Linked DNA regions of Caenorhabditis elegans. The protein of the gene in region 1 interacts with the protein of each later gene in a pairwise test. Each region holds a gene or a part of one and is shown on either strand. Other genes may lie near its edges.

Region 1 (4,823 bases):
TTATGTTTTAAAGCCATAAATTGTAGTTTTTGAGCTTAAATAGCTGCTAAAATCGAGTTTTCTTGATATTTATCTTAAAAATTTGTGTCTTTCAAAAAATATATTGATTTTTACAGATCATCCCGCAAAAATGTCGACGAGAAAGCTCAACAAAGTGATGGTTCAGCCTGTGAACCTCATCTTCAGGTAATATTTTTTCACTAATCAGTAGAAAACAATTTCCCAAATTTCAGATATCTCCAAAACCGCACTCGGGTCCAAATCTGGTTGTACGAGGATGTCACCCACCGTCTCGAGGGCTACATCATCGGATTCGACGAGTTCATGAATGTCGTGTTCGACGAAGCCGAGGAGGTGAACATGAAGACGAAGGGACGCAACAAGATCGGCAGAATTCTTCTCAAAGGAGACAACATCACTCTCATCCACGCCGCCCAACAAGAAGCCTAAATCATCGTTCACTTTTCACGGATCTCTTTGTTCATTTTTCTGTCTCTGTTTCGCTTTCGCACCGTATTGTTCCAAGTTTTCAAGTTTTAATATGTCTTTAAAAAAAGTAAATTATTTTTGGCTTTTTTGGCACAAGTTCATTCACAGGACAAAGAGAGGGGGTGAGTGGATAAATATACAAAACAAAATATGGAAAATACGGCAAAATTAGGAAATAATAGTTGGTGGTGGCTGAGAGAAGAATCCATCGGGGAACACTTCAAACGCACCGCCCGTGGCATTCGGATCAATAGTCACATCCATCATGGGCATGCCATTCGAATTAATTGGTTGATAGTAGTATGTCGGTGCCATTGGTGCATACATTGGCTGGCTATTCATCAAATCATGTTGCTGTGGAATATATTGCACTGGAAAAGGAGCTCCTTGTTGAGCTTGCGGCGGTGGAGCCAAGAAATATGGCATTGGAAATGGCAGGAATTGTTGCTGATGTTGTGGATGATGATGGTAGTAGGCAATCGGCGGCGGACAATCGGAAGAAGGTGGCGCGTAAACCGTCGCATTCGCATTGAAATGTTGCATTTGTTCGACGTGAATGAAGCGGCATCTGAAAGGAAAATTTATTTTATTTATTTTTAATAAAAATTCCAGATTTCCTAGAACCTTGGACCATATCTGCAGTTTCCTCTCTCGAAATTGTGACAAATCTGACGACGATTCGAGCTTCCGTGGTTGTTGCTGGGTCTCCGATTCTGGAAGTAAAATATTGTAATATTTTCCCTAAATTTCACTTAAAAATAAGGATTTTTGCAACGTAAAACCTCAAAAATTCGCTGAAATTGACGATTTTTGTTCAAAATTTTGAAAAACAGGGTTAATTTTAGCTGAAAATCTTCAATTTTGCCAGAAATTGGCTTTTTTTCCGTCGCCACACGGAGAACTTGCCAAAAATGAAGACTTTTAGCCAATTTAGCCCTGAAAATTCGAGTTTTGGGCGATTTTTGGTCTGAGAAGCCGTTTTCGCAGTATATTATATTTTCTCGTTAAATTTCATTTTAAAATAAACATTTTGAACGTATAACCCCAAAAATTCGCTGCGCAATGGATGATTTTTGTCCAAAGTTTTGATAATTTTAGCTAAAAACCTCGAATTTTGGCAATTTTTCGTGCCGCATCGGCCGAAAGTTGACTTTTTTTGGAATTATCATAATTTAATGCACATTTTGGTAGTTTATCTCACATAATCTGTCTGCAGGCGGGAAAAATTTGAGATAAACTACTAAAAGATGCAAAACAAGGATGATAATTCCAGAAAATCAACTTCGGACCGTCTCGACACGGAAAATTGAGCGAAATTGGAGTTTTAAAATGATTTAGCCCTGAAAATTCGAGAAATTTAGGCGGTTTTGGGTCTGAAAAGGCGTTTTCGCAGTATTTTCTCGCTAAATTTCATTTATTATCACATAATATCAGTACTTAGGCGAATATCTTGTAGAAATGTTGGTTTTGTTCGATAATTCTCTACTTTTAGAGTCGATTCACGAGAAAATGTTGCACCATCTTACTTTTTTCCCTTGTAAAACATAGATTCTTCTGTACAATGAAAGAGAACACAATTTCTTCGTGAAGCAACTCAAAAAGTAGAGAAAATTCGAACAAAACCCAACATTTCTACAAGATATTCGTCTAAATAGTGATATAATGTGTTAATAAGCATATTTTAAATGAAATTTAGCGAAAAAACTGCGAAAATTTGTCAAAAAAGCGAATTTCCATCCGATCAGCACCTCATCATGATGCTTCGATGCTGAAGAACTCGATCGATTGATTGTTGTATCCACGTCGTCTCGTCTAGAACGAGAATCACGGCGCTCACGTGGTGGATCTCGGGAATAATACTCTTGGCGGCGTCTCTGAAAAAAAAATTTTCCAAAGATTTCCAGGCTTCAGACACACCGGAACTCTCAGCTCATCTTGTCCGTGAGCATATGTGCAATTGTCGTTGTACGGGCAGTATCCTTCACGGCGGAACGCATCACAAAGTCGCGTTTTGTATTCTGTGTGCTGGAAAAAAAATCGATTTTGCATATTTTTCAGTTTTTTTTTTAAATCAAAACCTTATCCTTCGCCGAGCTATGTCTTTTAGTTGCCGGCGCCTCGTCAATCTGAGCCAATGGAGTGATCTTGAGCGCTTCACGCTTTGGACGAAGCCATTTTCCACTATATCCGGACGACAGCGAATCATTGAATGATCGATTGATTTTCCGTTGATCTACTGAATTTTGAATTCTCGCCGGGCACGTCGCATTCAGAAGACTGTTCGATCGATCGGCAGCGAACGACGTGTCATCTGAGTTGTTGAGTGCAGCCATTTGCTCGGCAATCGGCTTTGTTTGAGCCATCTGGAAAAGAAAATTTGATTTTTAATTGTTTGGGAAACGAAATACTGCAAAAAGAAACCTAAAAAGTGATTGTAAAACTGAAAAAACGGCGAGAAATCCATTTTTGCCGCCGAATTTGGTTACGGTTGGTTTAAAGGCGCATGCCTAAAGTTTTATTTTCGTTGCGGGACTCACAGATTTTTAAAAACTTTTTCTTTATTTTTTGAAGATTTCTGTGTTTTTTCACTGATTATTTACAAACAAAGCTCAATTTTATGAAAGCTTTCAATGTTAAAAAATAAAATTATATTTAATTGAGAAGTGCTCCGTGCTGAATTTGGGGGCAAAAACTCAATTTATAGCGATTTTTATATAATTTCTTATAAAATAAAATTTTTTCAGATGTTTTGCAAACGAATTACTGCGAAAAGAAACGTGAAAAGTGATTTTAAAACTGAAAAAACAGCGAGAAATCTTTTTTTGCCTCCGAATTTGGTTACGGTTGGTTTAAAGGCGCATGCCTCAAGTTGTGCTTTCGTTGCGATACTCACAGATTTTTAAAAAAACCTTTTTTGATTTTTTGTTTGAGTTTTTCAACTTTTTCAAGCATTTTTCTCGATTTTTGATACATTTTTTGCTTTCAAATCCAATTTTAAAGCTATTTTTCCGATATTTTCATGTTTTTCACGCTATTTTCGATTCAAATGTGTCTTTTAATCGTTTTCCGTACGCTGAAGGTCATTTCTGTTGTCCTCACCAAACATTAAAATTACAAATAGTATCTCCCAAGCAAAAACGTTAAAAATCGCTTTAATTTTGATGAAAATTTTCCAGTATTTCCCAAATTTCGAACAAATTTTTTTTTCAGCAAAAAAGATTTTTCGGAATTTTTTTCTGAAATTTCCCAGATTTTCCAGTAGTTCACCCTTTTTCTCCAATGTACTCGTACTCCAAGTACATAAATATGTCGATTTTCTCTTCCATATCACTTTATGTGGCGTAAAGAATACAAAAAAACCGGTTTTTCACCTCCAAAATCGGGCTATATTCTGTGTGAATATACAAAGAGAAACAGCTTTTACATATGTCTTTTGACGCCATTTTTTCTCGATTTTATTTAAAGGTGGAAATTGCTTTAAAACATGCCTATGGGGACACAATGACCGAATATCATGATAAAAAAATTCAAAAAAATTGTCTAGATGTTATATGATTTTTTGAAAATTGAAAAAATCTCAGTTTTCACCTAATTATATTTGAATTACCGCCAATTGAACTCGTTGGTTGGAGCGCGCTTGCATTATTTTCATTAGTTATTTGAATTAATTTTCATTATTTCACTGATTTTCTTCATTTTTGGGGTTTTTTAATCGGAAAATGAAAGAAATATACAAGAAAAATGCAAAATCTTTATTAAAAAGTAACTGAAAATGCCTAAAACTCCGAGAAATACTAATTTCAGTTTTTAATAAACATTTTGCATTTTTCTTGTATATTTCTTTCATTTCCCGATAAAAAAAACCTCAAAAATGAAGAAAATCAGTGAAATAATGAAAATTAATAAAATTAATTAATGAAAATAATGCAAGCGCGCTCCAACGAACGAGTTCAATTGGCGGTAATTCAAATATAATTAGGTGAAAACTGAGATTTTTTCAATTTTCAAAAAATCATATAAAATCTAGAAATTGTTTTTGAATTTTTTTATTATGATATTCGGTCATTGTGGTATTACGGGAACATAAAATTCTGAGAATGCGTATTTCACAACATATTTGGCGCGCAAAGTATCTCGTAGCGAAAACTACAATAATCCTTAAATGACTACTGTAGCGAATGTGTCGATTTACGGGCTCGATTCTTGGAAAAATCCACGTTTTTCGAATTTTGACAGCGATACTCAATTTCTCTTCGTGTTTTCCTATTCCTTTGTCATTTTTGTGTTTATTTTTTAATATTTTACCTATTAATAAATTAATTTGATTTAAAAAC
Region 2 (4,135 bases), on another chromosome or scaffold:
TAAATGTAGAAACGGAAGATTGGGAGGTACTTCCAGCAATGGCGCCAGGACCACATTCTCAACTGAAATTGTCATTATTTATTTTCTTCATACTTTCCGGGAAATCTTACGTATTCTTGAGCGGTCCATGGCCGGGCTGGCATGCGTGGATGAAGGTCTGTGGCCGGGATTGGAGCATTTGGAGAAGCAACGACGACGGCGGCTCCTTTGACTGTCTCGGCAGTCCACTTTGCTGCCTCAAAGAGCTTTCCTACGACCATAGTTGATTACCTACAAAACTAAAAATGATTATGTAGTTAAGCTTTATTTGAATATTGATATTTTTAAGCTAAAAAAAAAGATAATTGACATAATTCAACATCGTGAGAGCGTGGGGAAAAATTGAACGTGAATTGCAAGAAATAAACAAAATAACTTATATTTATCAATATTTTACATCGAAAAAAAACTCAAAAAGAGCAATTTTTAGCTTAAAAATAAAAAATTGGGAAGCCAAAAACTGACGGCGGTTTTCGTCCCGCCCCTTTTTGCAAGATTGTGCGTGCTCGCGGTTGTGTGCAAACACGCCGCACACACTTACGACGCTGCGTTTTTTGTCTGCCTCCTGTTCTCGTTCAAAACTGTTTCACCGTTCACCTCGTTTTTCTCTCACTTTTCTGTTTTTCTTATTGTTTTCTACTAGAATTATATCTATATTTGTTCAAAATATAATAAAAAGACGACGCTTGAAGTGTTTCGAATAGTTATTTTCACTGAGCTGCACCTGTCTAATAGACCCACCGTTCAAGGAAGAAAATATCGATTTGTAGGCACTGAATAATATTTTTTAAACATTTTTCGATTCAAAATAAAAATACTTCCAGCAATGGCGCCAGGAAATTCATTGGAGAACTCACTCTCAAATATTAATCTCAATTTCGTAAAATGCTATTATCAAAAAATATCAATAGCACAGGCCACGTGGCTTTTGTTTTTTATTTAAGCTCCTCCCACAACTTTATTTCCGAAGTGAATTTAAAAATTAAACTAAAGGTCAATCATGGGAGGAGCCTAAATAAAAAAGAAATAAAAATCAAAAGCCATGTGGCCTGTGCGATTGATATTTTTTGATAATAGATTGTGGCTGGCTAGTTTAGATTCCTGTAGAAATTGTGCCAAGAAAATTTAAATAATTTCAAGACAAGGCCCAAAAGACAGTATATCATATTGTCAGAATTTTTTATTCCTTGGCACTGGCGAAATTTTCCAGTGCTCTAAATTATTCCAAAAAACCACAGCCACCTGTTTAAGTATATGTCTTTGAAAATTATATTCCTTCAAAGTTTTTACAAAACCTCAATTCTTATATTTTTCCGCTTCAATGATCTTGCCGAATTCAGTTTATTGATCAAAATGTGTTATAGTAATGAGCGTTTTCACGTCGCGTTTATATCGATTACCAAAAATTAGCCAAAAACTCGATCAATACTGCATAACCTGTCTTACACCTTCTCCTTCTCTTCATTTTATTTTTCTTCGAGCAATCTTGTTATTTCAGTCTACTGCGACCATCAAACATGAACTCAAACGGCCCGTTGATGGAGCACGGTAAGCGCCGTGTCGCCTACTACTATGACTCCAACATTGGAAATTACTATTATGGTCAAGGGCACGTCATGAAGCCACATCGTATCAGAATGACCCATCATCTCGTTCTCAACTATGGTCTGTACCGGAATTTAGAGATTTTCGTAAGTAATATTTCTTCATTGAAATATTGTAAACGTTTAATTTTAGCGCCCATTCCCTGCATCATTCGAAGACATGACTCGTTTTCACAGCGACGAGTACATGACGTTTTTGAAGAGTGCGAATCCAGATAATCTGAAATCCTTCAACAAACAAATGCTTAAGTGTAAGTTATATTCTTTTTAAAACTAAATGTATTGTCTCATTTCAGTCAATGTTGGAGAAGATTGTCCTCTCTTTGATGGTCTTTATGAGTTCTGCCAACTCAGTTCGGGAGGTTCTCTGGCTGCTGCCACTAAATTGAACAAGCAGAAGGTGGACATTGCTATCAATTGGATGGGAGGCCTCCATCACGCCAAGAAAAGCGAGGCGTCCGGATTCTGTTACACCAATGACATCGTTCTCGGTATTCTCGAGCTTCTCAAGTACCACAAGCGAGTACTTTACGTCGATATTGATGTTCATCACGGAGATGGAGTAGAGGAGGCGTTCTATACGACTGATCGAGTAATGACAGTGTCATTCCATAAATATGGAGATTTCTTCCCAGGAACCGGAGACCTGAAAGATATAGGAGCTGGAAAAGGAAAGCTCTATTCAGTCAATGTTCCACTTCGCGATGGAATCACCGACGTCTCTTACCAGAGTATTTTTAAACCAATCATGACAAAGGTTATGGAGAGATTTGATCCCTGTGCTGTTGTTCTTCAATGTGGAGCTGATTCTCTCAACGGAGATAGACTTGGACCATTCAATCTGACCTTGAAAGGCCACGGAGAATGTGCTCGTTTCTTCCGAAGCTACAACGTTCCACTTATGATGGTCGGTGGAGGTGGATACACTCCAAGAAATGTGGCACGTTGTTGGACGTACGAAACCTCGATTGCCGTCGATAAGGAAGTTCCAAATGAGTTGCCATACAATGACTACTTCGAATACTTTGGACCAAACTACCGACTTCACATCGAGTCGTCGAATGCAGCAAATGAAAATAGCTCCGATATGCTGGCTAAATTGCAAACTGACGTCATCGCCAATCTCGAGCAGCTCACTTTTGTTCCAAGTGTTCAAATGAGACGTACGTTTTGAACGAATTTTTGTTCACTTTTTAGAATCTGTCAGAAAATTATTAGATGTTTGTTGAACACTTCATAATTATTCCATTTTTCAGCGATCCCAGAAGACGCCCTCTCTGCATTGAATGATGACTCATTGATCGCCGACCAAGCTAATCCCGACAAACGACTACCACCACAAATTACCGATGGAATGATTCAAGACGATGGAGACTTCTACGATGGTGAGCGTGAGGGAGATGATCGAAGAAACGAGAGCGATGCGAAGAGAGCAGCTCAGTTTGAGTCGGAAGGTGGTGAAAAGCGTCAGAAGACAGAGTAAAACACTAAAATGTGCCGCCGTCGAATTCAGTATCTCCTCTGAAAATAATATTCAATCACTGTACACCACTTTTTCCTTGTCAAATGAGTATTACTTTTTGATTTTCCTTAAATCTAATTTAATTTTCCGCCCAAATCCCAACTGTTTTATTTATTTTTCAAATTCAAGCACTTTTATTTGGAAGATCTCTTCACTTTTCCCCATTAATCCTTTTTTATCTCAGTATCCTTTACCCGTTTTGCACTTCCTCAACATCCTTACTCCTCACATCCACATCTAATCTACCCCCTTCAACGATTTCCATTTCTCTTGTCGTCCCACACTCCCCATTTTACTGGCACACAATTCCAATTCCACAGTCAGATCCTGAACACTTTTTTGTATTTTGGTGAATTTCTTCGTTTTTATTTATTTAATAAAATTGACTCGATTGGAACCGGCGCAACGTCTATCTTCAATTCGGAAATTGGAAAAATCGAATTTGTCACATTGGAATTCGAATGGAAGAAGACTAAAGTTTTTGCAGTTGACATCGTTTATGTCGTCAGTTTCAGCTGCTTCATAATTATTGTCTGGAAGCGAGCAATTATAACACGAATTATGATGACTACGCATGTGGTCTCATATTACAGAATAAATTCTCATTTCTATTTTCAATTGTATTCCTTGTCTGTCTTCATCTGATGTTGGATGGTGTGCTCCAAAACGGAGACCAACAAAAATTGCATCATAAAAATCCACTTATCCAAATTTTAGCCCCACCTGGGAATGGAATCGAATCGGCTCTCCGAGCACTCCTTTCACACAGAGACGGAGAGAGAAATTAGCTTTTTACTGGGTTCTTGTTGTTGAAAATGCAAAAAAGATGAAAACATGTTTCGATTCTTTCTTTGTTTTTCTTTTTTCTTTCCACTCATTCATACTTTTCATTGTTTGTCGTTCATTTTTCAAGTCTAAAATTCAGAAATATCGAAAAAAAAGGATATTCAATTTCGCAACGTAACCGATT
Region 3 (7,409 bases), on another chromosome or scaffold:
AAAAAATTAAATTTAAAATTTTCGCTAAAATTTTAGAAAATTACCTCAAAAATTCAGAAAAATTTGCGTAAAAGCTCAGAAAATCTGGAAAATTTCGATTTTTTTTGCAGTTTTTTTTTCTCTCAAAAACTGCAAAATTTCGCTTAATGCCACGTGGCAATTTTTACAATTTTTTTTTCAAAATTTCAAAAAAAAAAAATTTCAAAATTCCCAAAAAAAAACTTTTTTTTTCAAAATTTCAAAAAAAAAAAAATTTCCCAAAAACTCTCAATTTTCTTCAGAATTCATGCCAGCAGCGCTTAAAAAGATGCCAGTTCCACGTGGCGATCATGATGACGTCATGGTTTACGCAAAAGTGACGTCAGATGACGTGGGCAACGTTGCGATTCCGGATTGGCAGGATTTGAATGGAGAAGTGATTTTGGAAATGGAACCGGAATCGTGTCATTTGATTCCGTTCGAATCGGTACATCAATTGGTTGAAGATGGAAATATTCAACTGATGTGAAGAAGAATTTTTTGATAATTTTTTCGGATTTTTTTGGAATTTTCATCATTTTTACCCCTAAAATCGTAAATTTAATCCATTTTTTTGTAATTTTCCCGAATTTTTCATCATTTTTTACCCCTGAAACCCCCTTTTTTTTTTTTTACATATGTCTACTTTAATTTGTCACTTTTTGCCAATTTTCTGTCAAAAAATGAGCATTTTCACTGAAATTTTGCGGTGATTTTTCGCCTGTTTTCTCCTCTTTGAATCTCAATTTTTCACTTTAAAATTATCAAATTTTGCTCAAAAACCTCATTATTCCATTTTTATGTTCCCCCAAAAAACTGGATTTTCACTTCAAAAATCGGGTTTTTTTCTCTTAAATTTTCATTTATTTTAGCTTTTTTAAACATAAAAACGAAGCTTACTCCATGTTTTTTCCTGAAAATAGACAAAAAAATTTGGTTTGATATAAATTTTCGATTTTTGAGCCAAAAAGTGAATAATTTAAAGTTTTTCTGCTCATAACATTGTTCAGCATGACCATAGCGCAAAACTGGTGAAATTTTTGGAACTTTCGTAAAATTTCAGGCTTAAAACACCTAAATTACGCGAATTTTGGAGCAGTTTGAAAACTTGGTCAAGTGGCTCAGGCGGGAAGAGAGAAGGCTATGGTTCGGAGGGTAACAGGTTCGAACCCCCGCTAGGGTCAATATTTTTTATATGTTTGAATTAGTATAGCCTAGTTGGTTTTGAGCAATTGCGAAGGGGAGGAAGGGTTTAAGGGAATTTTTTGAAAAAAATCGATAAAATGTGTTTTCTTTTGGTTTTTTGCCAATTTCTTGAAGTTTTCAGCGATTTTAGCATAAATTTCCAAATTCTGCAGAAAATTTAGACATTTTTTGACACCCATATTAACTTTTCAACTTTTTTTTTCGAATTTTGAGCCAAGAAATTGATCGATTTAAAGTTTTTTACTCATAACTCTGTTCAACATGAACGTAGATCAAAACTAGTTAAATTTCTGGAATTATCGTGAAATTCTGAGCCTAAAACAACTAAATTACGCGAATTTTGGAGCAGTTTGAAAACTGGGTCAAAGTGGCTCAGGCGGGAAGAGGTATGGTTATGTGCGGAGGGTCATAGGTTCGAACCCCCGCTAGGGTCAATATTTTTTTAATGTTTGAATTAGTATAGCTAAGTTGGTTTAGAACAATTGCGAAGGGTTTTGAGGGAATTAAAAAAAAAAAAAAACATTTTTTTTTAAATTTTTAGATTAAAAATTTTTTTTTTTTTGGAGAACTAAACTTTCAGGGCTCAGAGTAACACTGAAACAAGAACAATTTTTTTTCATATTTTATCATTTTATGTTACCTGTTACCTTGAACATGTTGATCGGCGTGATTCCACCTATAAAAACCAGCGAAAACCCCGTAAAAACCTGAAAAATGTTACTTTTCATAATTTCCCCCTTATTCCTACTCTCTCTATGCCAACCTACAGTAACCCAACACTCTCAGGAGGTACTGTCACATTTTAACAATTTCACGATGCACCATAAGAAACACTACCGTACCCCGGCGGAGAAAGACCGCCGGTTGGCTCATTTCGCGAAAAATCATCAGAAAATCCAGGAACTTAATGCGAAAGCAAGGAGAGAAGGACGAAATGTGACTTTTGGGTGGAATAAGTTTGCTGATAAGAATCGACAGGAGTTGAGCGCCAGAAATTCAAAGGTTGGGGAGTTTTTTCAAAAAGCGCACAAAATTCTGCGCAAGATGGTTTTTGATTGGTTGAAAAATATTGATTTTAAACCGAGTTATGGCGTTTTGAAGGTGGTGGCCTAGAAACCGGAAATTTAGAAAATTTAGGTCACCAGTATTAAATAGGTCAAATAGACTCTAAATTTTAGGGAGAGTACATTAGTTTTAGAATCACTGAAAAATATTGATTTTCCGTTGAGTTATGACGGTTTTAAGTTGGTGGCCTAGAAACCCAAAAATCAGAAATTCTAGGCCACCAATATTAAATAGGTCAAATCGATTCCAAATTTTGTGGCAAGTACGTTAGTTTTGGAATCACTGAAAAATATTGATCTTGAGCAAAGTTATGAAGGATTGAAGTTGGTGGCCTAAAAATCCAAAAATCAGAAATTCTAGGCCACCAATTTTAAATAGGCCGAATCTATTCCTAATTTCAAGTCAATCACGGTAGTTTAGGAACCACTGAAAATATTAATTTCGAGCCAAGTTATGAGAGATGGAAGTTGGTGGCCTAGAAACTCAAAAGTTAGAAATTCTAGGCCACCAAATATCAAATAGGTCAAATTGATTTCAAATTTTGAGAAAAGTACGTTAGTTTTGGAGTCACTGAAAAATATTGAGTTTCCGTCGAGTTATGACGGTTTGAGGTTTGTGACCTAGAAACCCAACAGTTAAAAACTCTAGGCCACCAATATTCAGTAGGTCAAATGGACTTCAAATTTTAGGGAGAGTACGATAGTTTTGGAATAGCTGAAAAATATTGATTTTCCGTTGAGTTATGACGGTTTTAAGTTGGTGGCCTAGAAACCCAAAAATCAGAAATTCTAGGCCACCAAATATTAAATAGATCAATTTGATTCCAAATTTTGAGACATATACGTTAGTTTTGGAATCACTGAAAAATATTGATTTTGAGCTGAGTTATGACGTTTTGAAGTTGGTGGCCTAGAAACTCAAATATTAGAAATTCTAGGCCACGAAATATCAAATAGGTCAAATCGATTTCAAATTTTGAGACATATACGTTAGTTTTGGAATCACTGAAAAATATTTATTTTCCGTCGAGTTATGCCGGTTTGAAGTTTGTCGCCTAGAAACCTGAAAAATTCTAGGCCACCAATTTTAAATAAGCCGAATTGATTCCAAAATTCAAGTTGATTAAGTTTGTTTCTGTAAAACTCAAAAATATTGATTTTGAGCCAAGTTACAAGAATTTGAAGCAGGTGGCCTAACTTTTAATTTCTAGGCCACCAACTTCAACCCTCCATAATTCGGCTTTAAATCAATATTTCTGAATTTTACAAAAACCAACTTACGAAATTTGGAATCGATCTGACCTATTTAATTTTTGATGGCCTAGACATCCAAAATTTTGGGTTTCTAGGCCACCAACTTCAAACTTTCATAACTCGGCGGAAAATCAATATTTTTGAAATTTGAAAATTGTATTAGAATGTTCACGGTGCGTTCTTTAAGTTCTAATTATTCTTTTTTTTTAAACGAAAATTAAAAAAAAATAATTTGGAAATTTTCCAGATTCATCCCAAAAACCACACGGATCTTCCAATTTACAAGCCGAGGCATCCACGTGGCAGTCGTAATCATCATAATAAACGCTCAAAACGTCAAAGTGGGGATATTCCGGACTATTTCGACCTCCGTGATATTTATGTCGATGGGAGTCCAGTTGTTGGTCCTGTTAAAGATCAAGGTATGCTTAATTTGAAAAAGCTTAAAATTTGAGTAAACACAGATTTTGATTGGCGAAAAAATATTGATTTTCCGCCGAGTTATGAGGGTTTGAAGTTGGTGGCCTAGAAATGCAGAAATTTTTGGATTTCTAGGCCATCAAAATCAAGTAGGTCAAATTTATTGCAATTTTTTAGACAAATAAATTGGTTTTTGCAAAATTTTATTATGTAGATTTTCCGCCAAGTTATGAATGTTAGAAGTTGGTGGCCTAGAAAAATCATGCTCAGGTTTTCTAGGCCACCAATTATTCGAAAACAATAATAACTTAGACTCAATGTTTTTACAATTTCAGGTTTGAAAACTATAATTTCTAAGCAAAGTTATAGTCGTGGAAGAGTTTTTAAACTTTCTAGGCCACCAACTTGAAACCGTCATAACTCGGCGGAAAATTGATATTTTCGGGTTTTGTTAAAAGCATGTATCTTTCCATAAAGTTTACTATCAAATTAACTTAGTTAATTTTTAATGGCCTAGAAAAACACCAAATTGGATTTCTAGGACCCAACTTCAATCCCATATAACTCGGCGGAAAATTGATATTTTCGAGATCCGTAAAAATAATTTTGTTCACCATGAAATTTACGTTCAATATGACCTACTTAAATTTTGATGGCCTAGAAAACAATCATTTGGATTTCTAGGCCACCAACTTCAAACTCTCATAACTCGCTTCAAAATCGACGTATTTGGAGTTTGTAAAAGCCAATCGGTTTGTAATTTAATTGTTAACTTGAAAAACTCCCCCAAATACCGGTGGCCTCATCTGAAATTCTAGGCCACCAACTTCAAACCTTCATAACTCCCTTCAAAATATTTATTTTTTGGTGTTTCAAAAACTATTTCCATTTTAAATTTTACGCTCTTTTCAACTGATAACTTTTCAGAACAATGCGGTTGCTGCTGGGCGTTCGCCACCACTGCCATCACCGAAGCTGCCAACACCCTCTACTCCAAGTCCTTCACAAGTCTCTCGGACCAGGAAATTTGCGATTGTGCAGATTCAGGAGACACTCCTGGGTGCGTGGGAGGTGATCCAAGGAACGGTCTGAAAATGGTGCATCTACGGGGACAGTCCAGTGACGGTGACTACCCTTACGAGGAATATCGGGCGAATACCACTGGAAATTGCGTGGGCGACGAGAAAAGTACAGTAATCCAGCCGGAAACTTTAAATGTCTATCGATTTGATCAAGATTATGCAGAGGAGGATATTATGGAGAATTTGTATCTCAATCATATCCCTACAGCAGTTTGTAAGTTTTTTTGAAGGGTCTCGCCACGAAAAGTTTTGGGGTACAGTAATCCGGTATGGTTTGGGCCTGAAACATGTGAATCTGGCAAAAATTACGAAAAAAAAATCTTAAAAACTGACTAAATTATGAGGTTTTGAAATTTGAAAATTTTGCGAAAAAATTAGCATTTGGGTCCCACCACGAAACGTCCTGTAGTTCTTTAGTCTGGGATGGCTTGAAGCCCAAATTTTGCAAACTAGTAGAATAAAAGTATGCGCTCCTGTCAAAATAAAAATTATCTGAAAATCTTGAAAACTAGCAAAGATATGTTGCTTTGAAATTTTAAAAATTTTTGCAAAAAATATTTTTTTCAAAATTTTGGTCCCGCCACGAAAAGTCCTGGGGTACTGTAGTCTGAATTGGCTTGAAGCTGAACATTTATAAGCTGACAGTAAAAAATTTTGCACACATTCTGAAATAAAAATAAGTCAGATACCTTAAAAACTGACAAAGTTATAAGGTTTTAAATTTCGGAAAAAATTTGCAAAGAAAATATTTTTTTCTTCAAAATTTTGGTCCCGCCACGAAAAGTCTTGGGTAATGGCTCTGAGCTTTGAATTCTAGTAGAGAAAGAGTATGCGCTCCTGTCAAGTTAAAAATTATCTAAAAATTTTGAAAACTGACAAAGTTATAACGCTTTGAAATTTTAAAAATTTTTGCAATTTTTTTTTTCAAAATTTTGGCCCCGCCACGAAAAGTCCTGTGGTACTGTAGTCTGAGATTGTTTGAAGCTGAAATTTTATAACCTGATAGTAAAAGATTTTGCACACATTTTGAAATTTAACTTAGGTGAATATCTCAAAAACTGGCTAAGTTTTGAAGTATTGAAATTTAAAAAATTTTGCAAAAAAATTTTTTTTTTTGAAAACTTGTGTCCCGCCACGAAAACTCTTGGAGTACTGTAGTCTGAGATGGCTTGAAGTTGAAATTACATAAGCTGGCAGTAAAAAATTTTGCACACATTATGAAATAAAAATTAGGTAAATATCTTAAAAACTGACAAAGTTACGAAATTTTGGAATTTTAAAAATTTTAATTAAAAAATTTTTTTCAAAATTTTGGTTTGACCGCGAAAAGTCCTGTGGTACTGTGGTCTACAATGGCTGAACGCTGAAATTTTTGCAGACTGATAGTGAATCATTTTGCGCACATTTTGAAATAAAGAAAAAGTTAATATCTCAAAAACTGGATAAGTTATAAGATTTTGAAATTAAAAAAAATTCCAAAAAAAAAGTTTCCAAAAAATTTTCAAATTTTTCCAGATTTCCGAGTGGGTGAGAACTTTGAATGGTACACATCAGGAGTACTTCAATCCGAAGATTGTTACCAAATGACACCAGCGGAATGGCATTCCGTAGCAATTGTTGGTTATGGTACATCAGATGACGGTGTCCCGTATTGGTTGGTTAGAAACTCGTGGAATTCCGATTGGGGTCTTCATGGATATGTCAAGATTCGACGTGGTGTTAACTGGTGTCTGATTGAAAGTCATGCGGCTACTGCTATGATTGATAATTAATTGTGTAATGAATGTTTTAAAAAATTAGTTGGTTTAGTGAATTACAACATTTGAGTATACAAAAGTTTTACAAAAGTTTGCCAAACCGGAAACTTAAAAAATAATGAACGATTCGAAAGTTATCACGACAAAATGATTATTTCTTGAGAGAAATTGGCGTTGACTCTCTAATTGGTGTTTCTGCTCCGACAGATCTATCGCTTTTGTCGTCTTGAGCTTTTTCGACGTCATCCTCATTGGTGCCAGCAACCTTTATTCTGAAATTACAGTCGTTAGAGATGACAATGTTAAACTAAAAAAAAACTGAACAGTTGCAAGAAAATCTCGAAACTTTGCCTGTTTATTATTCCTCCAGATAGATAACTAAAAATGTACCTGTGAATAGTGACAATATTCTTCTGTGCAATGTTACATACGCAGCTACATGCCTCTTGTTCAAGAGCCAGATTCCAGTGCATGCCTAGCAAAATGACATGTGTCGCACCATGCAAATTGATTGCCCCTGCTCTCTCTGACAAGAAAACTACGCTGACTGTTCTGTCATTTTTGTCGTTCAGCTTCTTCGCTATTTCTCGACAATCTTTTGCACTGGT
Region 4 (4,805 bases), on another chromosome or scaffold:
GCTCCGTTCGTGTGAGTCGAGAACTATAATTTCAGATAATTTATTTCGTTTGTAAACAAACAATTTTGAAACTCACTTCCAAGCTGTGATAAGATGTGTGAATCGTCATGAAAACTCATGGACTTAACCCGTCGTGATTTTCTGTAAAAATCGATTTTCCCTGATTCGATTTATTTATTCTTAAATTGTTCAGAAGCTTGAAAAATCGAACAGTTGGCAATTTGGAAAAAAATAAAGTAAAAATAACACACGTGAAACGAGTGTTACCGTACTCCTCTGTCCCACCGGGACATGAGAGCAATGTCTGCGTCTCTGACTGGTTTTACACTGCGGAGCGGCTGCGTCACGGTCTTCAGACGCGCGGTTTGCTTCGCTTGCAAGTCGTCTCGTGTGATTTTCGAAAACATTAATGCTGGTGTCCGCCACGACGGCACTCCGGAGAATTCATATACTCATTTTCTGTTTCTTTTTTGTGGCACAAACTTCTAACAAACATTTTAGGTGAATTTGGCGAAAAAGAATATGGGAGTAAAATTAAATGATCCGACTGGGCGAAAGCTTATGTAAAAGCCAGAAAAACGTGTGCAATCCCTTGAAAATTAATTGCAGAGAAGGTGAAGAGAATTTGAAGAAATTATACTCTGAAATATTCTGAAAATTGGAGGTATTTGATAAATATTCAAAGCTCAATAAAGCTGGTAATCGCTCGGAAAAATGAACGTTGGAAATTTAATCTAGTGTCAAATTCGATTGTTTCGAAAAAATTTGCTAATTTTAGGTGAATTAGTCTAGCTATTTCCAGTTTTTGTTAAATTTGCCACGCTACGTTCAATTTCTTTAGATATTATTTTCCTTGTAACGCGCCTAGCCCAAAACGTGTTTCGTAACGAAATTCGTATTCGTAAGCCCATTTCCCTTGATCGATATTCAATGTTAGAGTGTGTAAACTGAAGAGACGCTGCCGATTAGTAGAGTTGTTTGCGCTGAGAGAGAGAAATGACGGGGGCCTCTCTTTCCACTCTTCCCTTCTCCCTCGTGGTCGATTTTGACGGGTTGCGATAGTCACTTGAGCGAATAGCAGCAGTATGACAACGCGCTTGCTGTATACATTCTTTCTGTGGTTTTCGTCATCATCAATCCTTTTTCTAACATACAAGAATAGTTTCCAAATGGTAACAAAAAGTTAAGCATAATTGGAGAAAAAATGACGAAAAATTGGTTAATTGAATTTTAACGAGTTTGAAAGATCAACATTGATCTGAAATAGTTCGAAGAATTTAAAAGCAACTGAAAAACTGAAGTTATTGATATGAAAAGACGGTTTGTTTGAGTTCCAGATTTGAGCATTCTAGACTGAAATTCCAACGTTCAAGATTCCAAGAAGCTATACATTTTTATGTTTTAAAGCTTTTCGAAATAGTTGATTTTTAATTCGAGAAAAAATTCATCCCAAAACTCTGTTCAAATTTCCTACATTATGGGCGGAGTCTGCGCGACCAATGGGCGCTCATGCCGTTTCTATCGTAGACAACATGAGAATGCTCCTCCCACTGCAACTGTGACTTGAAAATTGAGAGAACGAACTGAAATATGTAAATAATCACAAAGATCCGGAAAAGGGAATCACGGAGGAAAACATGAATTTTCATTATCTTTTTATTTCTTTTCTTGCTTTTTATTAGAGCTTGAGAAGTGAACACCGCTTTAACTTTTTATTATGAAAATCCGTAAAACCGGGTATAAATCCAATCATTACAATTATTCTAGATCATGACGGACATCATATCTCAAAATGAAAATAAAGACGATTTCGAAGATGGTGAACTTCCTGAGGACGGTGAAATATGTGATGATGAAGATGAATCTGTAAAAGCAGTGCCCTCCAAATCATCAGAATCAGCTCCAGGTGCTCATATTGCTCCAGCACATCCTGAGAAAACAAGTGGTCGGGATTCACGAGAACGAGTCAGGCGGTTTGAAGGGAATAGTCCTCCGAGAGAGCGAGATCCGGATCCGTTTGGATCTCACAATGATGCTCCGGATGGAAATGGTAAATGTTTCTCTGAATTTTTTGAAAGTCTAACGTCTGATTTGTGAATTAAATTTATCCGATCCGATAATTATCCCGGCAACTGTTTATTCTACGAAATTTAGAGTGTAACCTCTCTTGTTTTTTATTGACGCATTAATAAATGGGAATAATTTTCGAGTGCTGAAAAGGAGAAATTTAATAATTTTCAGATTATTTCGGTGGAGATAAAGACTATCGTAGCGGAGCAGCAGCTTCGTCAGAAGAAGAACCATTCAGTGATACTGATTATCGTGTAAATCGGCGGAGACGCTTATCCCCTTCCCACGACGACGGAGACTTTGACCCGAGATCAAAACGGCCATACTATGGAGGACGAGGAGGATTCCGGGGTGGCTTCCGGAATGGAGCGAAGCCAAGATTTCAAACAGAACATCAGATCTGCAAGTTTTTCCGAGAAGGTTATTGTAGAGACGGTGACAATTGTTTGTACTCTCACCAAGCCGAAGATTCACTGAGACGGCCTGTTCTGTGCAACTTTTATGCTAATAGTTTTTGTAAAAAGGTTAGTTTCAGAAAAAAAAACCAACTTTTCATTTTAAAATACTAATTCTTGTTCAGGGTCTACAATGTCTTATGCTCCATGGAGAATTCCCATGCAAATCCTTCCACAAAGGACAATGCAACCATGATCCATGTAGATTTTCTCACGTTCCCCTGACGGACTATACCCGACCAATCATTGAGAAGATTCTAGCAGACGAAGAAGCCCGGCAGGCTCATCAAGCGCAGCAGGCTCAAACATACAGACAGAATCCAGTGGCAAATGCTGCTGCTGCCGCTGCAGCTGCACAAGTAATGCCAAGAAGGAGAGTTCTCCTCCCTGGAGGTAAGCAGAAAATCGAAATCACTTTTCCATAATAATTATTCAAAAATGTTCAGGCCCTAATATGAATGGTTCATCTCCACCCCACGCAACGCCTGTGATACATGCTCCGATCCCTCAAGCATCTCATCCAAGTCAACTTCCACCACCAGCAGTTGTTGTGCCAACCATTCAACGAAACCCTGGACCAGGAATTCCAATACATCAGCAATACCCTGTTGCTCCAGCAGCTGGAGGATATTTCAATCAAGGGCCACGGCCCGAACAAGTTCAAGGACTTCCACCGCCACGAACAATTGAGCCACCTAGGCTGAGTACTCAAACTCCTCCTATAATGCATCAACAGCAACCACAACTAATGAGGCCTATGCATCCAGTTCCAATTCAACATCCACATCTTCAGCAGCCTGGATTAGTTCAGCCACCGCAAATAGTCTCTCAAGAACGACATACTGCATCACCACAAGGATTCAATTTAGAGGTAAGAATATTGAGAAAGCTTTCATTTAACAATATTTATTTTTCAGGCAATGCTTAACAAGATGGCCAATGGCGAAAAGCTCATATCAAGTCCTCGGAACAACGTGGTCGACGATTCTCCAGCCTCGCCTCCTCCGTCCAACTATTCCAGCATGTTTGGATCATCGAATCGTGTAGCAGTCATACCACAAACAGTGCAAGTCACTTGGGGACTAGTTCGTGTTCAAAGGCGACTTCCGTACTCAAATGTTGAGAACCCTGATCGTATAGCTGCCAATGATCCAAGAAGAGCCAAAGCAATCGCCAAACAGTTTGATGCTTTCAGCTCATTGCTGGGCGCTGGAGGGAATGCCGTATCAGATCCAAGACTTCGGGCACAGAAAGAGAAAAATGATCGTCAACAAAATACAATGCCATTTTCCTCGTGGATGCCTCAAATATCTTAATTTTTATTGTAATTATTCAATGTCTACTGAAAACATTAGTTTATCTTTTAAACAAAACAATTACAAGTTTAGATTCATGTGAGTGTATCACATTTTTCAATCTTTCAATTGATCTGGTCTCTTCATATTGCCTGTTAATGTTTAGTTCTTTCTTAAAGTTTTCATTTATGATTTTGTGAAAAATTTGCAAAACCTTTCCTGTCTTCAACGAGTTTATCTGGACATTTGAGGCTTTTCAAAAAAATTTTCCACTCACAGACGATACTGGTACGATCCCTGTTCCAATCCACTCCCCGAACTGCTGGCATTTTATTTTTAATCAGTTATCAAGTTCCACAAATGATGCTCACTTTTCTGATATGTGTAAAATTGTGTTTCAACCATTTATACTGATGTTTTCTTCACTTCTTTTTAACTTGTATAAGATGAGAACATATTTTGAATGAAGAATGATTTATTAAAACTTGGACTTGTTATTATATTTGAAAAAAATCATCAATTGTAGCCGGAAATGTCAAAAAGAGAGGGTGTTCCTTTCCACTGCACAGATACCTCATTCTGCGCCTCTTCGTCTCACACGCACTCTCGTTTAGCGGCACACACAAAACTTAGTTGACGGCGGAACCTGAAGAGTGTCGGCCGCGCCGTTTTGTTGCCTCAGCACACTTTCACCCTTTCTCCAGTCTTCAGTATGGGTCAATCTCTGATCTGCAACTGAATATGATGAGTTCGGGCGATGATCTTCTGTGATTACATCGCACGGCGAGGTGGGAACGCAATACCCGCCTGCCAGCCCGATTCTGAACCAAGTTGCCTAGAAATATTTTGGAAACATAAGACTCTTTTAGAGTTATTTATATGAATTACATCTTGTTGTGTTCAATTTGATGTGTTTGTTCATTAAAGCTTAACGAACAACATCGTTGACATAAAATACACGATTTCTAAACATATACGAAGTACA

The links.
Region 2: the proteins of pie-1 (region 1) and hda-1 interact in binary tests that used the Caenorhabditis elegans proteins (3 or more experiments, as listed by UniProt).
Region 3: the proteins of pie-1 (region 1) and Y113G7B.15 interact in a two-hybrid assay, tested with the Caenorhabditis elegans proteins (2 studies listed by BioGRID).
Region 4: the proteins of pie-1 (region 1) and T26A8.4 interact in a two-hybrid assay, tested with the Caenorhabditis elegans proteins (2 studies listed by BioGRID).

What each region holds. Positions count from the first base shown.
Region 1 is NC_003281.10:12,424,922-12,429,744, reverse strand, and holds pie-1 (Pharynx and intestine in excess protein 1), read right to left. Parts: upstream 2,853-4,823; coding exon 2,568-2,852; intron 2,515-2,567; coding exon 2,407-2,514; intron 2,364-2,406; coding exon 2,238-2,363; intron 1,203-2,237; coding exon 1,114-1,202; intron 1,058-1,113; coding exon 658-1,057; 3' UTR 550-657; downstream 1-549. Other genes in the region: snr-6 (putative small nuclear ribonucleoprotein E), read left to right, coding at 131-186, 234-450. UniProt on the Caenorhabditis elegans protein: Maternally provided pie-1 is required for germline cell fate determination. Functions as a repressor of RNA polymerase II-dependent gene expression in the developing germline. Required for expression of nos-2 in P4 germline blastomere cells.
Region 2 is NC_003283.11:14,523,852-14,527,986, forward strand, and holds hda-1 (Histone deacetylase 1), read left to right. Parts: upstream 1-1,537; 5' UTR 1,538-1,556; coding exon 1,557-1,730; intron 1,731-1,776; coding exon 1,777-1,894; intron 1,895-1,939; coding exon 1,940-2,806; intron 2,807-2,899; coding exon 2,900-3,126; 3' UTR 3,127-3,560; downstream 3,561-4,135. Other genes in the region: ril-1 (RNAi-Induced Longevity), read right to left, coding at 1-62, 111-260.
Region 3 is NC_003283.11:20,228,373-20,235,781, reverse strand, and holds Y113G7B.15 (Pept_C1 domain-containing protein), read left to right. Parts: upstream 1-1,938; coding exon 1,939-2,226; intron 2,227-3,789; coding exon 3,790-3,964; intron 3,965-4,889; coding exon 4,890-5,258; intron 5,259-6,559; coding exon 6,560-6,816; 3' UTR 6,817-6,843; downstream 6,844-7,409. Other genes in the region: sld-5 (DNA replication complex GINS protein SLD5), read left to right, coding at 282-508.
Region 4 is NC_003282.8:8,428,456-8,433,260, reverse strand, and holds T26A8.4 (C3H1-type domain-containing protein), read left to right. Parts: upstream 1-1,767; 5' UTR 1,768-1,770; coding exon 1,771-2,050; intron 2,051-2,241; coding exon 2,242-2,594; intron 2,595-2,650; coding exon 2,651-2,918; intron 2,919-2,971; coding exon 2,972-3,396; intron 3,397-3,442; coding exon 3,443-3,841; 3' UTR 3,842-4,300; downstream 4,301-4,805. Other genes in the region: pdtf-1 (Permeability-Determining Transcription Factor), read right to left, coding at 1-23, 77-119; tmem-231 (Transmembrane protein 231), read right to left, coding at 4,749-4,805.